Linked DNA regions of Oryctolagus cuniculus. The protein of the gene in region 3 purifies or fractionates together with the protein of the main gene of each other region. This does not show direct contact. Links are inferred from orthologs where the notes say so. Each region holds a gene or a part of one and is shown on either strand. Other genes may lie near its edges.

Evidence for each region. Proteins that work in one complex are often made in the same cells at the same time.
Region 1: the proteins of SOD1 (region 3) and TKT purify together in Homo sapiens (affinity purification with mass spectrometry; 3 studies listed by BioGRID, with this or other methods). This does not show direct contact. The link is inferred for Oryctolagus cuniculus from reciprocal best matches to the Homo sapiens genes SOD1 and TKT.
Region 2: the proteins of SOD1 (region 3) and HEXB purify together in Homo sapiens (affinity purification with mass spectrometry; 3 studies listed by BioGRID and IntAct, with this or other methods). This does not show direct contact. The link is inferred for Oryctolagus cuniculus from reciprocal best matches to the Homo sapiens genes SOD1 and HEXB.
Region 4: the proteins of SOD1 (region 3) and ENO1 fractionate together in Homo sapiens (co-fractionation; 3 studies listed by BioGRID, with this or other methods). This does not show direct contact. The link is inferred for Oryctolagus cuniculus from reciprocal best matches to the Homo sapiens genes SOD1 and ENO1.

Annotation. Positions count from the first base shown.
Region 1 is NC_091441.1:96,586,788-96,591,068, forward strand, and holds the end of TKT (transketolase), read left to right. Parts: intron 1-270; coding exon 271-427; intron 428-553; coding exon 554-684; intron 685-1,274; coding exon 1,275-1,358; intron 1,359-1,471; coding exon 1,472-1,565; intron 1,566-2,235; coding exon 2,236-2,358; intron 2,359-2,887; coding exon 2,888-3,063; 3' UTR 3,064-3,154; downstream 3,155-4,281. UniProt on the Homo sapiens protein: Catalyzes the transfer of a two-carbon ketol group from a ketose donor to an aldose acceptor, via a covalent intermediate with the cofactor thiamine pyrophosphate.
Region 2 is NC_091445.1:36,201,172-36,205,768, forward strand, and holds part of HEXB (beta-hexosaminidase subunit beta), read right to left. Parts: intron 2,728-4,597; coding exon 2,598-2,727; intron 1-2,597. UniProt on the Homo sapiens protein: Hydrolyzes the non-reducing end N-acetyl-D-hexosamine and/or sulfated N-acetyl-D-hexosamine of glycoconjugates, such as the oligosaccharide moieties from proteins and neutral glycolipids, or from certain mucopolysaccharides.
Region 3 is NC_091435.1:13,159,300-13,164,504, forward strand, and holds the start of SOD1 (superoxide dismutase [Cu-Zn]), read right to left. Parts: upstream 3,456-5,205; 5' UTR 3,316-3,455; coding exon 3,244-3,315; intron 306-3,243; coding exon 212-305; intron 1-211. UniProt on the Homo sapiens protein: Destroys radicals which are normally produced within the cells and which are toxic to biological systems.
Region 4 is NC_091438.1:158,991,585-158,996,181, reverse strand, and holds part of ENO1 (alpha-enolase), read right to left. Parts: intron 4,422-4,597; 5' UTR 4,413-4,421; coding exon 4,328-4,412; intron 2,208-4,327; coding exon 2,112-2,207; intron 1,185-2,111; coding exon 1,126-1,184; intron 837-1,125; coding exon of another isoform or gene 778-836; intron 1-777. UniProt on the Homo sapiens protein: Glycolytic enzyme the catalyzes the conversion of 2-phosphoglycerate to phosphoenolpyruvate. In addition to glycolysis, involved in various processes such as growth control, hypoxia tolerance and allergic responses.

The DNA.
Region 1 (4,281 bases), on a different chromosome or scaffold from region 3:
TTCCACCCACTGGTTCACCCCCCCCCCCAAATGGCCACAATGGCTGTCTGGACCAGGTAGAAGCCAGGAGCCTGGAGCTCCATCCATGTCTCCCACATGAGTGTAGGGACCCAGGGACTTGGGCCATCCTCCATGGCTTTCCCAGGCGCATTAGCAGGAAGCTGGATCAGAAGCAGAGCAGCCAGGACTCGAACCCAGCATCCCAGTAGCCACAGTTTAACCTGCTCGCGCTGCAACACCAGCTGAGCCTGCCCCCCACCCCGCCCCCAGGTGAGCGTCGCTGTGGGCTGTGCCACGCGCAACAGGACGGTACCCTTCTGTAGCTCTTTCGCCGCCTTCTTCACACGGGCCTTTGACCAGATCCGCATGGCGGCCATCTCCGAGAGCAACATCAACGTGTGCGGCTCCCACTGCGGAGTGTCCATCGGTGAGTCCAGCCAGGATGCCCGTACCTGGAGCCTCCTGAACCTCTTGGAGCAGGTCAAGGAGTGGGGGCGGGGATGCCCGGTCATGGATGGGGATCTTACTCAGCGTTTTCTTTCCCACACCACAGGGGAAGATGGGCCCTCTCAGATGGCCCTAGAAGACTTGGCCATGTTCCGCTCCATCCCCATGTCAACTGTCTTTTACCCGAGTGACGCAGTCGCTACAGAGAAGGCAGTGGAATTAGCAGCCAATACAAAGGTGGGTACCACAGCTAGCTCTTTCCTGGAGGGGCACAGAGCTGTTTCCTGGCCTTGCCCCGGGTGTCTGTGTAGTTTGTGGAAGTTGGACAAGGAGAAATGAAACACACAGCGCCCTTGCTGCATCATGGCAGACATTACCAGTCGATGACTGCACTCTTTTCCCCCTGAGAGTCCTGGCCACCTCTCCCTGTCTGGTGGTTCACACCTGTTTGCCCCGACTTGAACTGGTGTCCGTGAGCCAAGCCCTGCAGTCCATGTCCAGAGCCCTGCTCATGGGTGGTTCCCGTTCCCCTGCCTGGAGCAGGGGGGCCTGCCCGGGGGATGCACTGTGGAGGAGCCTCACCGGGTGGGCCATCTCCCTGGTGGAAAGTTGTTTGGGGTCTGTGGCCGGCAGCATCCGTGGGCAGCTCTTGGGAGGAGTGAGGTGCAGGCTGCAGTAGCCAGGCTGCAGGGACTGACGGAGGCCCTGGGCAATGACAGGCTGGATGGATTTGCAGCAGGAGAGGCCGAGCTCTCCGGAAGAGATGGTGCCCCGGGAGCAGGGTGCTGTGTTCTCCCATGTTCTCAGCTTCTCTGTTCCCGTCCCAGGGCATCTGCTTCATCCGGACCAGCCGCCCGGAAAACGCCATCATCTACAACAACAGTGAGGATTTCCAGGTTGGACAAGGCAAGGTCAGTGCCGCTCCTGCCCCAGCGAGCCCACCTTCCAGAGCCAAACCCTCCCTGCCCCACCCTGCACAGCCTGCAGTTTCTGATCCTCGCCGGTCCCCCGCTGTCTCCCCTAGGTGGTCCTGAAGAGCAAGGATGACCAGGTGACCGTGGTCGGGGCTGGGGTGACCCTGCACGAGGCCTTGGCTGCCGCCGAGCTGCTAAAGAAAGGTGAGGAGAAGGGAGCTGCCCAGCCGTGGGCTGAGGGCTGCCTGCGCGCTGGGTCCTGGGGCGAGAGGATCTGTGCAGTTTAACAGTGGCAACACTCACACCAGCCACCTCCAGAGCGCTTAGCCTGTGCCTAGCCTGAAGCTGGGTCCTTGGGCTGCAGGGGCCATGATCCCTGCCCTAAGACCCCCAGGTTGAGATGGCCCGGCATGGTGGTCAGGTCAGAGGCAGCTGGGATCACAGCTGGTTATTCCCTAATACCGTGCCTCAGTTTACCCACCTGTAAACAGTCAACCCTCTGTATCCTTGGGCGAATGGTCTCCAGATCCCCGTACAGATGCCCAAATCCAGCTCTGCTCGAGTCCCTTCTGTAAAATGGCTCTGCATTTCTGGACAGTCCCCAGCCGCAGAGCTGGCCAAGACTGCCTGGGCAAGGGAGCACCAGCCCCTCGGGTCAGGGAAGGCTCCTGGAGGAGGCAGGTGGGTGCCAAGGGCTGGAGGACAGCGGCCGGCCCATCTGGCGTTAGCACAAGCTCCACGGTGGGCAGAGCTGGCTCTCCCCAGGACAGGGATGGGCTGGAGCTCTCAGAACACCCCCACCAGGCCCCACCAAGGGCAGACCCAGGCACCCAGTGCTCCCCTGAGCCCCACCCCTGCCCCTCCTCCCCTACAGAGAGGATCAGCATCCGCGTGGTGGACCCCTTCACCATCAAGCCCCTGGACAGGAAGCTCATCCTGGACAGTGCCCGTGCCACCAAGGGCAGAATCCTCACCGTGGAGGACCACTATTATGAAGGTAGGTGGCCCGGGGTGGGGGGTGGGGGGGCGGGGATAGGGGTAGGGGCCAGGAAGGCCAAGGGCTGGGCACACTCAGACCTCCTGTGTCTGCTGAGCCCCTGCTGCCCAGGAAGCCCACAAGGATTCCAACCTCGGTGGGTAGAAAGAAGGCAGATTATGTCCTGAAGTAGTGGAAGGGTGTGGCTGTGGTGCAGAGTGCAACAGGGAAAGTAGTGCTGAGTCTCTGGCTTTCACCACGCAGCCTCTGCACCTGTACCTCCTGCAAGGAGGCCCCGGGGAGATGAGGCATAGACTCAGGTCAGGTGCACGTTTGTTGATGATGGCTGCCCAGGGGGTGGTGTTTTTAAATATCATCAGTGCTGTGATTGATGAGTGATGTCTGCCCTGGCTACAGTAGAGAAAAGTGGTGCATTTTCAACCTGTGCCCCTGTGGCCAAGGAAGTAAACGCAAGACTGACGGGCTGGGGCCCAGCCTCTGCTCGCCCTGAGACCTCGTTCATCTGACCAGTCTCCTTTCCTCTGCCCAGGTGGCATAGGGGAGGCGGTGTCCACTGCAGTAGTAGGCGAGCCTGGTGTCACTGTCGCCCGCCTGGCTGTGGGCCAGGTGCCAAGAAGCGGGAAGCCGGCCGAGCTGCTGAGGATGTTCGGCATCGACAAGGACGCCATCGCGCAAGCTGTGAGGGGCCTGGTGGCCAAGGCCTAGGGGAGGCCCGGTGCAGGGCGGGGTCCCGCACAGGCCTGAGGGCTCGGCAACGTGTGAACCGAGTGGGAATATATGTTTTGAGAAAAATGAATCGGCCCTGAGGTGTTTTGTGGGACGTGCACGCTGCGGTGCTGGCAGGGCCAGGACCTGGTGTCCACCGCCCTTTGGAGTCCTCGGCCCTGGCCCAGCGTCTTCCCCAACGGCCAGAGTCCCTCCAGGTAACACGGCCCTGCCCGTGCCTTCTAGTGAGGCTCACACATCCCTGCCCGCGTCCGGTCAGCCAGGCCCCGAGGGAGGCTGGGAGTTGCCTCACGGCCTGGCACTCGTCCAGGCCTCCTCAGGGCATCCTGCCCTCCCCCGGGTCCCCACAGGTCTCCTGGCATCAGGAGGTGCCTTTGTTCACTGTCCCCCAACCTCCGTTTCCCACGCCCTGTGAACCCGTCCATCACCTTGGCGGCCCTCCTCCTGCCTTTTGTGCCAGAGCTGCAGGGGCCAGCTCCACCAGTAGAGGTCCTCGCTCCCTGGCGTGCACCACTGTCCCCTGCCCCAGAAGCTGCTGGTATCACACTTGGAGAGCAGAGCCATGCTGGCCCATGCACCAGCTCAGCTGCTTCCCAGGCAGGATCCCTTGCTCGGGTGACCATAGCCTGTTTGTCCCCTGCTGCTTGTAAGGCTATCTGCATAGAACCCTGTACTGGCCAAAGAAGTGGGTGCCGCCAGCAACTGGTAGGGTTCTCCAGAAACCCTTGGAGTCCTTGGGGAGGGTGAGACACATCTGTAGACCTGTGCACGTTTCCTCCCGGCCATCTGGACAGAATGAGCCCAACAGACCCAGCAAAGTGCAGCCCACTTAGCTTCTGCACCCAGTGGGCTTTGCCAGGCGCTGTGTGCCTGCATTTGACCCAACACGAATTCCAGAGGGAGCAGGCGGGTCTCAGGTGGCCTAGGCTGCTGGGGTCTGTTGTCCACCCTTAGCAAGGCGTCTCTGCCTGCCAGCCCTGGCTGAGGCCCACGTGAACCCTGGCAGCCTTGGGAGGGTTGGGCTGCTGGGGCCATGTTAGCCTGGGACACGTGGGGGGCTGGGGGTGTTTCTTAGCCAGGTGTTCTGGGTCCTGACACGTCATTAAACTTTTTTGTGTAATCCAAAGTAAAAATAGTAAATCCAGAGGCCTGCAAGCTGCAGCCCTGGGGAGTGGAGCTGGGTTGACTGCCACCTTG
Region 2 (4,597 bases), on a different chromosome or scaffold from region 3:
ACACGAACAGGCAGCTGGATCAGAAGCAGACAGCAAAGACTCAAACAGGCACTCTAATATGGAATGCTGGAGTCTCAAGTTGTGACTTACCCTGCTGCACCTCCATGCTGGTTCCAAAACTAAGGTTTCTTTTTAAGATTTATTTGTTTACTTGAAAGAGTTTTGGAGAGAGGGAGAATAAAGAGAAAGAGGTCTTCCATCTCTTGGCTCACCCCCCAAATGCCCAAAATAGCCAGGTCTGGGCCAAGGAGAAACCAAAAGGCTGGAACTCAATCTGGGTCTCCTACCTGGGGAGCTCAGTCCCAAGTACTTGAGCCATCACCTTCTCTCTCTCATTGTTTGAACTGGCAGGAAGCTGCTTCCAAAGTGGAGGAGCCTGGACTTGAAACAGGCACTCTGATACAGCATACAGGAATGGCAAGCAGAGACCTCACCACTATGCCAAGTGCTTGTCCCTAGAGCTGGGGCACTCCAATATTGGGTGCAGGCATCTTAATCAGTATCTTAACCACTTAGGTCAAACACCAGCCCTATTAGTAAAATTTTTTAAGGTTTCAGGAGATGGAAATGCTAACTAACCTCATCGGTTCATTACACATTGAGTATATATCAAATTATCACACTATACCCCACAAATATGTACAATTAGATTTTTAAATGTGAAATCATTTATGAAATTTTCCTACTGAGTTGTAACAATATAAAATAAAGGTATATGTTATTTAAAAGTCCCATTTTAGGCCAGTGTCACGGCTCACTAGGCTAATCCTCTGCCTGCGGCGCCAGCACCCTGGGTTCTAGTCCCGGTTGGGGCGCCGGATTCTGTCCTGATTGCTCCTCTTCCAGTTCAGCTCTTTGCTGTGGCCCAGGAGTGCAGTGGAGGATGGCCCAAGTGCTTGGGCCCTGCACCCGCATGGGAGACCAGGAGAAGCACCTGGCTCCTGGCTTCGGATGCCAGCCATAGCAGCCATTTGGGGGGTGAACCAATGGAAGGAAGACCACTCTCTCTGTCTCTCTCACTGTCTAACTCTGCTTGTCAAAAAATTTAAAAAAAAATAAAAGTCTCATTTTAGGGATGTGGAACCTGAAGAAGAGATATTTCATAACTTATCCAAAGTCACTCAATTTATGAATGGCAGAAGCAGGATTCAACCCCAAGTAGTCTGGCTCCGGAGCCAACATTCCAATCACCACCCTGTCATGTCTGTTACTCTTTGCCAGATCCTAGAAAAACTAAATACTGTCAGACATGTCTTACCCTTTTTGCATTGCCTTTCCCCATGCCGTTCCCTCTACCAGAAACATGAATATATTCTTTGAAGTCTCAGAAGCTTTTTTTTTTGGACAGGCAGAGTGGACAGTGAGAGAGAGAGAGACAGAGAGAAAGGTCTTCCTTTGCCGTTGGTTCACCCTCCAATGGCCAGCGCGGCCGGCGCGCTGCGGCCGGCGCACCGCGCTGATCCGATGGCAGGAGCCAGGAGCCAGGTGCTTTTCCTGGTCTCCCATGGGGTGCAGGGCCCAAGCACCTGGGCCATCCTCCACTGCACTCCCTGGCCACAGCAGAGGGCTGGCCTGGAAGAGGGGCAACCGGGACAGAATCCGGCGCCCCGACCGGGACTAGAACCCGGTGTGCCGGCGCCGCTAGGCGGAGGATTAGCCTAGTGAGCCGCGGCGCCGGCCTCAGAAGCTTTTTAAGTGTTTCCTCATTCATACGTTTTTTCTTTTTCGTGTTTAACAATTTATTTGAAAGAGAGTCACAGAGAGAGGGGGTGATCTTCCAACCATGGATTCACTCCCCAGATGGCTGCAATGGCCAGGTCTGAACCAGGGCTAAGACAGGAGCTTCATCCACATTTCCCACATGGGTGGCAGGGGCCGGCCCAAACACTTGGACCACCTTCCGCTGCTTTTCCCAGGCCATTAGCAGGGAGCTAGATCAGAAATAGAGCATCCGGGACACGAACTGGTGCCCATATGGGATGCCAGCATCACAGGCAGTGGCTTGACCCACTATGCCACAACGCCAGCCTCTCTTGAAACTATTTCTTGAATTCACTTACTGTGTTCTACTTTTTATAATCATTTTTTTATATATTCCTTTCTCCTTATAGTTGTTGTTGTTGTTGTTTTGGACAGGCAGAGTTAGACAGTGAGAGAGAAAGGTCTTTCTACCGTTGGTTCACCCCCAAAATGAATGTCATGGTCGGTACACTGCGCCAATCTGAAGCCAGGAGCCAGGTGCTTCTCCTGGTCTCCCATGTGGGTGTAAGGCCCAAGGACTTGGGCCATCCCCCACTGCCCTCCCTGGCCACAGCAGAGAGCTGGCCTGGAAGAGGAGCAACCGGGACAGAATCCGGCGCCCCGACCGGGGCTAGAACCCGCGGTGCTGACACCACAGGCAGAGGATTAGCCTAGTGAGCCGCAGCACCAGCCTCTCTCTGGTTTTTATACTTAGGTGATACCTAGAAACAGTGACTTGCTTACAGACATAATGTTAATCATATGTGTCAACAGTGCTAGAATTAGATAAACCACAAGAACAAAATGAGCAAAAACCAAGTCATAATATGAGAGATGTAAGACCTCAAACTCCTTACCTTTGCCCCAAGACTGTGTATGTCCAGGAGTATCAAATTCTGGTATGACTCGAATCCCTCGCATTCGGGCATATTCAATCACCATACGTACGTCATTCGGTGTATAGACATGAGAAAAAGAATAGCTTCCCTATAACAGCCACATTTATTCAGGTTAAAATGAACAAAGTGGTTGGTTCTTAACAAGCCTGTTTATATTTGATAGTTATGGTTTTCACCATCAGAGTGTATGTGATATTGAATGACACATTTAAAAATAACATATCACCATAGCTTCAGGAATAGGAAATATACAGAAAAGAGAGAAATTTTCTACTAAACCACACATACCCAAAGGATGATAACCACTGAAGGACTTCTGTCAAATCATGTGTTTACTATATGTCATCAATAAATTCTCTGTACACTTTGGGTTAATCCCAGATTTACTGATAGAAATCTCTGTCTGCACTAGTGTCTCCTGCTTCAAGAACATCTGCTATAATGTTTCAGTTTCATGTGACCATACAACAAAGCAGAAATGAAATGCTGGCCCCCAAAGTGAAACAGCTGAATCAACAGCTCATCAATTTTAGAATCAAAATCCATACATTATTACAAAGCATAGCTGTAGTCTTTCAAAGTCACTGTAAGTGTTGCCAGCTTTAATAATTCTCTTATAAACAGTTCAAGACAGAGAGAAAGGTCTTCCTTTTTCCGTTGGTTCACCCCTCAAGTGGCCACTACAGCCGGCGTGTTGTGGCCAGTGCACTGCACCAATCTGAAGCCAGGAGCCAGGTGCTTCCTCCTGGTCTCCCATGTGGGTGCAGGGACCAAGGACCTGGGCCATCCTCCACTACACTCCCAGGCCACAGCAAAGAGCTGGACTAAAAAAGGAGCAACTGGGACAGAATCTGGCACCCCAACCTGGACTAGGGTGCCGGCACCACAGGCAGAGGATTAGCCTAGTGAGCCGCGGCGCCGGCCTAACTTGATGGTTTTTAAAGATTGCCTCATTCCCTTCACTGGAAAAATTAAAAGTTCAATATTAATTGTAATTAAAGATAAGTCTATTAAAGATATTGTTTAGCAGGCTTCTCAAAGTATCAACTATACCTGCTCAACTTCTAAAAAGTAATCTTGTCCCACAGCCCTCCAGATCAAATCTGTATCTAATCAATACCCCATCTTTCAGTTTACAGTAAATACAGGGGACATGTTAATTGACACTATGGAGACACAGAACCCAGACCATGGAAAACTGACTCATTTTCTTCAACAACAACAAATTACAAGGCAAAAGGGAGACTGAGGTAGGAAGTGGGAATCTAACAATAAAAAGACAGTAGACATATTAACAGACCACAAGGTGTGGGGCTTATTTGCATCTCAATTATAATAAAATGTTTAATAAAGCAAAAACTGAATACTAACTGGTTATCTAAATTGCTGTTAATTTTTCAGTTCCAGTAATGTATTGTGGTTATTTAAAAAAAAATTATCAATGAAATAAAATGTTTGGGGTTGACTGACAACATGGGGGGCAGAGGATATCTGCAGGACAGCCTGAGATTGGCCATGTGCGAACTACTAGAGCTGAGTGATGAGAACATGGAAATTCATGAAACATTTCCATCTGCACTTGAAAATTTCCATAATGAAAGTAAAACAAAAGCATGTGCTCTTAACATTTCAGCCTGAACTATAATAGTGGGGAAAGTTTGGAATTGTAACCAGAGTACAGAATGTAGAGTCTTGATTGGGACCCTTCCTAACTGCAACTATAGACAAAGCACAGAGCTTCTCTGGATGCCACTTACTCCGTGTAATGGAATTAAACGAGGTCCCTCTATGGATCGCCCCCAGCCCAGCTGCTCTACAAGGCAGTCTTCTTGGGCACCTCCCACCAAGACCATCAGTCTTGTAGCCAAGAGCCCGCCTCTCTAAAATTCCCTGCTTAGTGTAACTTTTTAAAAGAGGACAAATACATATTTCCAAATTCTGTTTAAAGCAAATAATAT
Region 3 (5,205 bases):
GAAAAAATAAATAAATAAATAAATAAAACACAACTCCTTCCCCTTCCTTTCTGTACTCCAGGAGTCAAAGAACAGCTTGGGAGCTGATCTCCTTAAAGCTGACTTTAGCAGCATTTAAAAAAAATAAACTTGTTCAAGTTCTTACTGCTCAGGCTGACTCTACTGCATCCTTGTACCTTAGCTGGCTGGGTCACCAGAGCAGCACACTCACCTTGTGTATTATCTCCAAACTGGTGGACATGGAATCCGTGCAGGCCTTCGGTCAGTCCTGTTATGCGTCCCTTGACCACCACGGGCCCTGTTCCCTTTATTCAAAAACAAAGTGTGGCAAGTCAGAGAAAGCAGCTGCTTCTCCACAGAGCACACGGCCGATCCACGTTCCCAGTCACAGCAAGGGAGAAGTCTGTGTCCTCTCTGTGGCCCACCACTTTGTAGCCTGTGGGCCTCCAGCAGGTTGCTTACCTGCAGCACGCAGTGCGTTCTCACTAACACTGACTGCCCCGGAGTCCTGTGGCCAGGTCGGCATGATACAGCAGATACGAAGCTCCCAGCAGAACGCACCCCAAGGTCAGACTTACACTGGGACCGAGTGCTCTGCAGGGCCCCTCCCGATGGGCACGCGCTCATTTACAAGATACCTCTGGGTAGGCTGTGTGTGCGTGTGATGAGTCTACGTGTACCCATCAGACTTTTCAGTCCAAAGAGTCTATGTCACCATACGCTCAACTCCTGGCTTTCTTCATGGACACGCTCTTTCCACACAGCAAACACTGCATACAAACATGCCTTTGAGAAAGAAAAAAGGACCCAGCAAAGGTCCAGCTGGCTGCCCTGGGACCCGTTCTCCACTCTCACTTGGTGGGTATTGTCAATTTCCATCACAGTCATTTGTGATTGGCAGCCAGAAAATACCCTATCCCACAGTCCCCAGAGAGACCAGGTCTAGTCTAACCAGAGAGACTGTTTTAAGTATTTTTAGGCAATGGAGCCTAGATTTAAAAACTCCAACACAGGAGAGAGTGACGACACGCTAAGGCAGGTGGGAAACCTGCAGCAAGATCTCCATGCAGGCCACGGTGCTGCGTGGCCAGACACAGAAAACCAGGGAAGCTGCTGTTACCACTCGTTGCCCAAAGATCTCGGGGACTATACACACGCACAGCACCAGCTCCACACCATCACTCACTCACACACACACACACACACACACACACACACGGCTCTCCTTGTTTTTAGCTTGGTTTGCTTTCCAAGTCGACAGTAAGACGAGGCACGAGGCCTTGAGCTCAGAAGAGACCCTGGCTCAAAGTGTCTGTCCGGAAGACTGCTCCCCTTTGTTTTCCCTTGGGGGAACAGCAGCTGCACTTCTCCCCAGGACCACCTCTGGCTGTGGCCGCACTTTGAACAGTAGCAGGCAGACAAGGGCAGATTCTTCCAGACCGCTCTGCACACGCAAGGCAGGCGGCACACGAAGTCGATCCAGAGCCGCGGGGTTACAATCCTACAGGGCGCAGGCTGCCGCCCTAAGCGAGGAAGAGAGAGGGGCTGGGAGGCAGACAGGAACACAAACGGTCCAGCAGTGCAGTCCTCGGCGAAGACAGGCACGGAGGAGCACACACCCAACCGTTTCAGGAGCTAGGAACCAGGACTGACCGACCAACCCACCGCGATTTTTAAATGTTGGCAACTAACCTTCAACACTGAATAGGCCAAACCAAATACAGTTTATAGCCAACTGATTACTTCTGCCTATCTGTAGTGCTGGAAGACCAAACTCTCCAGGGGGCTTTATCAAGTGCAAAGGGCAGCACCCAAGTGAAGTCTGGAGCTGAAACCAGGAACCGTGCCAGACACTGGGGGAAGGTGCAAGACTGACAAGCTCCCAGGCCCACCCCCAGGGCCCCTTCCTGCTGCGAGGGATCGGAGGCTCTCCACACCTGTGACTTCCCTGCAGACCCAAACAAAGCCAGGCAAGTGAAACGCAGCCAGACGCACTCGGGCCAGACCCCCTTCCTCGGTGTGAAGCCAGTTCATGAAAACACAGGCACTTGAACCCACACTCATCCCTTACTCTCTCTCTCTCAATGCCTAGGCTCAGTGCAGGAGTTTCCCACAACTTGAGCTTGCGGGGACAATCTTATCACAAGCACCTTCCTTGTGGAGTTTCTGATAACGAGTATCTCTGCAAAAATTGCTGTAGAGTCTTTATTTCCCACGATTTGTTCTTGGACCCACTGAGCAACCTCAATGTCAAAGCCACTCTGCAGAGAATTTGGCCAAAGGAGTGCTCCAAAAACAGGTAAGAGCCAGTCTGACTAAGGTATAAGCTCCAGGTTTCTGCAACTTCCAAATCCCCCGGCCTCCGGAGTGTTAATTCTCCATCTTAGGTGCACGGTAAAATCACCCTGGAAATTCAAAATAGTAACACTCAGAGCGCACCAGAGCAAATTAAGACAAAATTGGTCTGGGGCCGAGCCCTGGTATCTGGGTTTTTTGTTTGTTTGTGAGAATCTGCGCTCTGGAAAATTCCCAAGTCAGATGTCCGGCTTTTGCAGTTTTGAAGGCAAAAAAAAAAAAAAAAAAAAAAAAAATCGTTTTCCAAGGCCATCCTCTTTGCCTTCGCCGCCTGACCACGACCTGGCTCTCAGGCGCCAACACGCTGCCGAAAATAAAGTCACGCTGGGCCGCTGCGGCGTGTTCGACCAGTTAAACCTGTAGAGCTGGGACAATGACCCTGGGACTGAGGGGACGCCGCGGGCCGCAACCGCAGACCCCGGACCTAGAGCGCGGGAGCCAGAGAAGCAGCCCCAAGCGGGTAACGGACGCGGCGACACCCACGCGGGCCCGGCCGCACGCGCCACGCCTGGATCTCGGGGTGGCGGCGGGGGGGGGGAGCCCACGGACCCCCGGGCGGCAAACGCAGGGCCCCGCGCGGGTCTCCACCTCGCCCTCACAGACCCCGCGGCGGTCGGAGCCCGCGCGCCAGGCCCGGGCGTTCCAGTCCCGCACCCCCGCCCAGGCCCGGCCCGGCCCCGCCGCCGCCGCCGCCGCCGCCGGGGCCCGCCCGGTGACTCAGCAGTTGGCGGGCGGGTGCGCGCGGGCGGCGGTGCGGGGCGCCGCGCGGCCAGGAGGCGGAGGAGCCCGGTGGCGCGGACCCCGGCCCGGCGCGGCGGCGGCGGTGTGGCGACCCCAGCCCCGGCCCGGCCGGCGGCCCTGTCCCCGGCGCTTCCTGCCAGCCCTTGCCTTCTGCTCGAAGTGGATGGTGCCCTCGACCGGGCCGTCGCCCTTCAGCACGCACACAGCCTTCGTCGCCATGACTCCCGAGCGGCGCGCTCCGGTGCGGGCAGCGAGGGCGGCGGGAGACGCTGCAGGACGCGCCGACGCAAACCGAGCCCGACGCGCCCCCGGCTGCTTTATAGGCCGCCGCGCTGCGCCCCGCCCACCCTGGCCCTGAACCAATCGCCGCCCGCGCGCTCAGCCCGCCCCCTCTACGGCGGCCTCGGGGCGCGAGTGGCCTGGGATGACCGGGGGCGGGGCGAGGCCGCGCGTGAGGAAGCCGCCGGGACCCTGAGGGGGAACCCGGCTCTCGGACCCGAGTGGTGTGGCCGACGGTGGCGGTGGCCCGAACCGGGAGACCGAGGAGTACGTGTTATGCCGAGAAGGTCTGAAGTCGCTCCGTCTAGAGACGTTAGCAACAGCGGCTGGCGCTGTGGCGTAGCAGGTTAAGCTGTGGCCTGCGGCGCCCCTGCTGCTCCGCTTCCGATCCAGCTCCCTGCTGATGCGGCTGGGAAAAGCAGCAGAGGGTGGCCCCAGTGCCTGGGCCCCTGCACCCCTGTGGGAGACCCGGAAGAAGCTCCTGGCCCCTGGCTGCGGCCTGGCCCAGTACTGGCCATGGCGGCCATCTGGGGGAGTGAACCAGCGGATGGGAGAATTCTGTGTCTCTCCCTTTCTCTTACGCATGACTTTCAAATACATAAATCAAAAAAAGAAAAAAAAAGGAAATTGGATTAACTTAAGTGGATGCTTTCTGTAGTTTCCTTTTTTTTAAAATCTTGGGTTTTTTTTTCTTTTTAAGATTTATTTATTTGAAAGACAGGGTTAGAGAGAGGTAGAGCCAGAGAGAGAGCGAGCGAGAGCGACGTCTTCCATCCGCTGGTTCACTCCCCAAATGACCGTAATGGCCAGAGCTGGGCTGATCTGAAGCCAGGAGCCAGGAGTTTCCTCAGGGTCTCCCATGCGGGTGCAGGGGCCCAAGGCCATGAGCCATCTTCCACTGCTTTCCCAGGCCATAGCAGAGAGCTGGATCAGAAGTGGAGCAGCCGGGACTGGAACCGGCACCTAAGAGATGGCGGCCTTGCAGGCTGGGGCTTTAACCCACTGTGCCACAGCGCTGGCCCCTGTAGTTTCTGGTTTTTGTCTGTTTTTAGTTGTTGTTGTTTTTTTTTTTAAGGTATACTTATTTATTTGGAAGAATGAGTGATCTGCTGGCTCACCACCCAGGTAACCACCCAGGGACTCCGTCGGGGTCTCCCTCATGGGTGGCAGGGTCCCAAGCCCCTGGGCCCTCCTCTGCACTTCCCCAGTGCGTTAGCAGGGAGCTGGGTAGAAGGGAAGCAGCCTGGACTTGAGCCGGCGCCCCCTTGTTTGTGGTTTTGTCGTGGTCAGTACAGCCTGACCTGGTTCATAGTGCCTCTGGCATGGTTAGAATTCTGCATTCTTAGTTGCCATGATGGCAGGACCACACAACCTTAAAGACAACAAAATGACATCTGTTTGGCTTCCACATAGCTCCCCTGTTTCCTTCCATCTGGCTAAGGCCACATCACACAGGCAAAGGGTAGATGATTAAATGACCTAACAGCGCCTGCATTCAGTAGGAGAGGTAAATAGTACATACGCTTTTCATGCAAAGTGTTCCAGAAGCATGAAGCGAGGAGAGGAGACCAGTGTTGTGGGACAGCAGGTTAGGCCGCAGCCTACCACGCCAGCATGCTCTATCTGAGCGCTTGTTAGAGTCCAGGCTGCTGTACTTTGTGTCCAGCTCCCTGCTAATGTGTCTGGGAAAGCAGCAGAGGAGGGCCCCATTACCTGGGCTCCTGCCAGCAACGCGGGAGACCCGGATGGAGTTCTTCGCTCCTGGCTTCTGTCTGGTTCAGCCTCGGCCACTGCAGCCATTTAGGGAGTGAACCAGCAGCTAGAAGATCT
Region 4 (4,597 bases), on a different chromosome or scaffold from region 3:
CGGTGGGCTTTACCTGCTATGCCACAATGCCAGTCCCCAAATTGATTTGGGTACCGACTGACCTCCTGGTCAGGCTGAAGTGTGTTTCCCCCAAGGGAAAAAGATGCCCAGGGAAGCCCTGCTCGAATGTCAGTCATGCCACATGCGGGCATAAAGGACACAGAACAAGGTGTGCATGGAGGTGCCCAGAAGACTAGCACCACGGCGTGTGCAGGCAGAGCAGTAACAAGGAATGCTGCCTGGGGACCGGCTGGGCAGGGACCAATTACTGAGAAGCACAACAGCCAGCCCTGATGAGCAAGCTGGGACATGGACAATGAAGACAGCAGCGCTCAGTTCCCGCTGCGGCACAGGTGACTCTGCGACTGCTCCATCAGGCAGCACCACAGGGAGGGCGAAGACACCAACTGCTCGGCTCAGGCGGTCGGGTCGCAGGGCCCTGGCCTTGTCCTACTAGGGCAGCTCTACTCAACAGTCTGACTGCTGAGGTTTCAAGATTTTGTTGACTGAAAAAACAGTAGGAATCCAGCAGAGACTTCCAAAGGTCATGCAGAGTTAGCCACCGTGGACACTCCTGCCCCCACTGCTCCATGCCAGCTCCACGCGCTGGCAGGGGACACACAGGCTGTGGGCAGGTTAGCGTGACGCCATGCAGACAGGGACCCCAACCGGCTTCTGCAGCTCTCAGAGTAAGCTCTTCTGTGAAGAGGGAAGGCCCTGGGCCTGAGGGACGCTCTGGTGGCATCGATAGACATTAGTTATCAGGAGAGGTCCTACCTTGCTAACCAGGGCAGGCGCAATAGTTTTATTGATGTGCTCAACAGCCTTTGAGACACCTGGAAGGAACAATCAAATCAATTACTGACATTAATTCAGAAAAGGAGGCTTGAGCAGCATTGCTGGAGATCTACTGAGGCTGCTGTCCCAGAAGCCCACCAGAGCCCTGCCACGGGACCACTGCTTCAAAACCCCACCCCCGCCCCTGGAGGCTGAGCGCTCTTACCGAGGACCCCCAGGGGTTAGAGCCACACACAGAGCCCCGCTCAATTCCCCAGCTGGAGGTTAGTCTGCAAGACCATGCACTGGGATACCAGCTGCACAGACTCCAGGACTTCCGGTTGTTACCTGAGTGCACAGGGCTGGTGCCAGGAACTCATTAATATACTTAACGGGTCTGGAGACGCCTGCCCAGTCCAGATGGACAGAGAAGGAAAAAGAGAGACTCAGAAGAGAACAGGCTGTGAGGCACACAGAGTGAGAAAAGGCGAGGAAACAGGAGGGTGGGAGGGTGCTGGAGGGGCCGCAGCGCCGGCCTGGGTGCATGCTGGCTCCCGCCCTCGAGGCACGGCACCGCCCTGCTCCAGCGAGAGCAAGGTCCCCGCGGGCCCGCCGTGCACAAGCAGGCGCCGCCCGGCCTCTCCCCGGCGGCTGTGTTGGCCCTGCCCGGCAGCCATTTTAGACTTTCTCCCTACTTGCCTGAAACTGACCACCACAGGCGTGCTGCACTGACGCACTGGGGGCTCTCTGGAGGCCCAGGAACCCCTCCCAGGGGGCTAACACCACCCGCTGTGGAACACACGTGAGACGGCCTCACGTGCTTCCTGTGAATGGGCCACACGGCGCCATCTCCAGAACCGCGGAAGCTACGTCAACACAGACAGTCAGCACCCGAGGGGGCCTGCCACTTGGCAGCCCCTCTGTCGACCCCCAGCACAAACCTACCTACTCCCGGCAGCAGGCCACGAGCTGCCCCTCCCTAGGCCCTGTGGAGGGGGATGGTGGGCCGGACCCAGAGGCCCTGCTGGGCAAAGGGGAAGACCCCTGGGCACGAGCTGGCCTTAGTTAACGGGACCACTTCTCACCCTGGGCCCAATCACAGGCTGGAGAAGGCCGCAACAGCAGTGACCACTGGAACTCCCGGCCCTGGGCTTACAGGCTTTGGAGCCTCGGGATCTGTGCCCGCCGGGCCTGCTTTCCACGTGCTGGGGCGCCGTGAGTGACGGTGGGTCTACCACTACCCTGCGCGAGGCCGCCCCCAGGAGTATGCGGGTCATGCGGAAGGCCAGGAGCGGGGCTGGAAGCAGAGGCTGGGTTGTGGGTCCAGGCCTTACCCTTCCCCATGTAGCGAGTCTTGTCATTGTCCCGCAGCTCCAAGGCTTCGTAGATTCCAGTTGAAGCACCACTGGGCACAGCAGCTCGGAAAAGACCTAGATGAGGGGAAAACAGGAACAATTAACAATGCGGCGATGGGGGCTGACGCTGTGGCGCTATGTGGCACCGGTACCCCCTAAGTGCCGGTTCCAGTCCACTCCCTGCTAATGCATCTGGGAAACAGCAGACAGTGTCCCAGTCCTCAGCCCCTGCCACCCACATGGCAAACCCCGACAGAGTTCCAGGCTCCCGGTTTCACACTGGTCCAGCCCCAGCCCTTGTGGCCATGCAGACGTGAGATATGAGATCTCTGTCTCTCCACCTTTCAAAAATCTTACAAAAGAAGACACAGTGAAAATGGCAGCCCAGATCCCCTCCCACACACAGATGTCTCTGCGCCAGGAAACAGTGTGGTAATGGTCACGTTTCCGCGATTCTGCAATGCAGATCCTCCCACCAACTGCGGAACTTCCCTAGCTCAAGTCTCAGGTGCACACGGGCCCCCGGGGACCTCGCTGACAGACAGTCTCACGGCGGGGCTGGGGAGCCTGCAGCTGGCCCGGCAGCAGTGCCGGCAGAAGCAGAACCCAAGTCAGGGAGGGGGCTGGCGGTGCCCTCGGAGCTGCGCTCAACTAGAAAGGCAAAGCGGGAACTTCGTCAGCTCGAGAGGAGCCGCTGGTCATTTGCCTCGGTTTAGACAGCGATGACCACTAGTCTGGGGTCTCCGCCCCCAGGCAAACTGGCTGAGGGGGAACAGGAATAAAGACAACGGGTGCAGTGTTCACATCACTAGGACACGATCCTGCATCCAGAAACCAGACCCGTGCTGCAGCCCCGACACGGCCACCGCTGGACAAAGCGCGAGGCGGGGCGTCAAGACCTCCAGTTTGGGGAGAGGGCAGGCAGCCTCGGGAACCCACCAGCAGCTCTAGGGAATTTTCCATCTGAAAGGAGCTGGGCAGGGATGTGGCGGCAATGCACAGAGGGGAAGAACGTCCTCCTCCCGCTCTGCTGCAGGCTGACTCACGGTGACTCAGCCCGGCGAGCGCGGCTCGGCTCAGTGACTGCCAGAAGCCGCTTTCCCAGCCTCGCCCCAGCCTGTTCATGAAACAGCCGGGGAACTAACTGCTGGAAGTAACCACGGCTGAAAAGGCAGATTTTCTTCTTAAAAAAAGGAGGGGAAAGCCCTCATTCTGTGGTTTTTCACAGGGCACACTGCAGAGCCTTATGGCCAGGAAACATCAGAGCCCCGGACTTCCCCAGAACCCCAGGTCATAGCCCTGAATTCAAGAGCGCTACACGGCCACTGGCTCGCGCTCCCTCATCTCCTGCCTCACCCAGGAAGGATCCAGCCACACCACATCTGCCAATTCAGGCGTGGGCACGCCTTATCTCAGCCCCTCCCCCACAGGGCACAGGTTTTGTTTTAAATGCCAAGAATTTGTGAGACAAAGGCTCTGTCCTACAATCTCTCCTCCACATCACCGCCAGCCAGAAATCACAGCCTGTCAGCATGTGCAGAGCAGAAAGAAAAGTGTCTACAGCAAGAATTTTTCATGCCTAATACAGCGTAACAGAGAGGGAGGGAGAGAGAATCCTCCATGTACTCATGTACTGCCCAAATGCTTGCAGCACCAGGCTGGGGCAGGCCAGAAACCCCACACAGATCTCCTGGTGGGCGGCAGGGAGTGGCGGAGGCACTTGAGCCGGGTGCTGCCTTTCCCAGGCACATCAGCGGGACCCGGCTCACCAGCGGAGCAGCCTGAGCTCCATCGGGTAATCCAGCCGGGAGCGGCCATGGCAAGAGGAAGCTTAACCTGCTGCTCCACAGTGTCCATCCTCCGTCACTTTTAAACAAGTTTTTGTCTTATTTTTAAAGGTTCATTTAGTTATTTGAAAGGCAAAGAGATGGAGAGAGATCTTCTACCTGCTGGTTCATTCCCCAAATGACTGCAACAGCTAGGTCTGGTCTGGGTCGAAGCCAGGAGCCCGGAACTCCAACCAGGTCTCCTCGTGGGTGGCAGTAACCCATGCACTTTGGGGCCATCTTCCACTGCTTTCCCAGGTGCACTAGCAGGAAGCTGGACTGGAATTAGGCAACTGCCATGCTGGCACCCCACCCATGATTTGTGAGCAAATCTTCAAAATGGAGTGTGGAAACTGAGGCGGCACGTACCTTTGGAGGTGTAGAGATCAACCTCGACGGTGGGATTCCCGCGAGAGTCAAAGATCTCTCTGGCATGGACCTTGAGCACAGACATGGTGAATTTCTGCGGGGAAACACAGTTTTTATTTCCCATAAACCACTACACAGCATTTGCTCATTCACTCGAGGGTTCCTGGACCAGGCGGAATCTGCACTGGCCTGAATGCTGGCTGCAGGAAGGCAGCTTAGGGGCGGGAGGCCGGAGGCATCGCTCCATCCAACCCGGACTGGGCCCCGTCC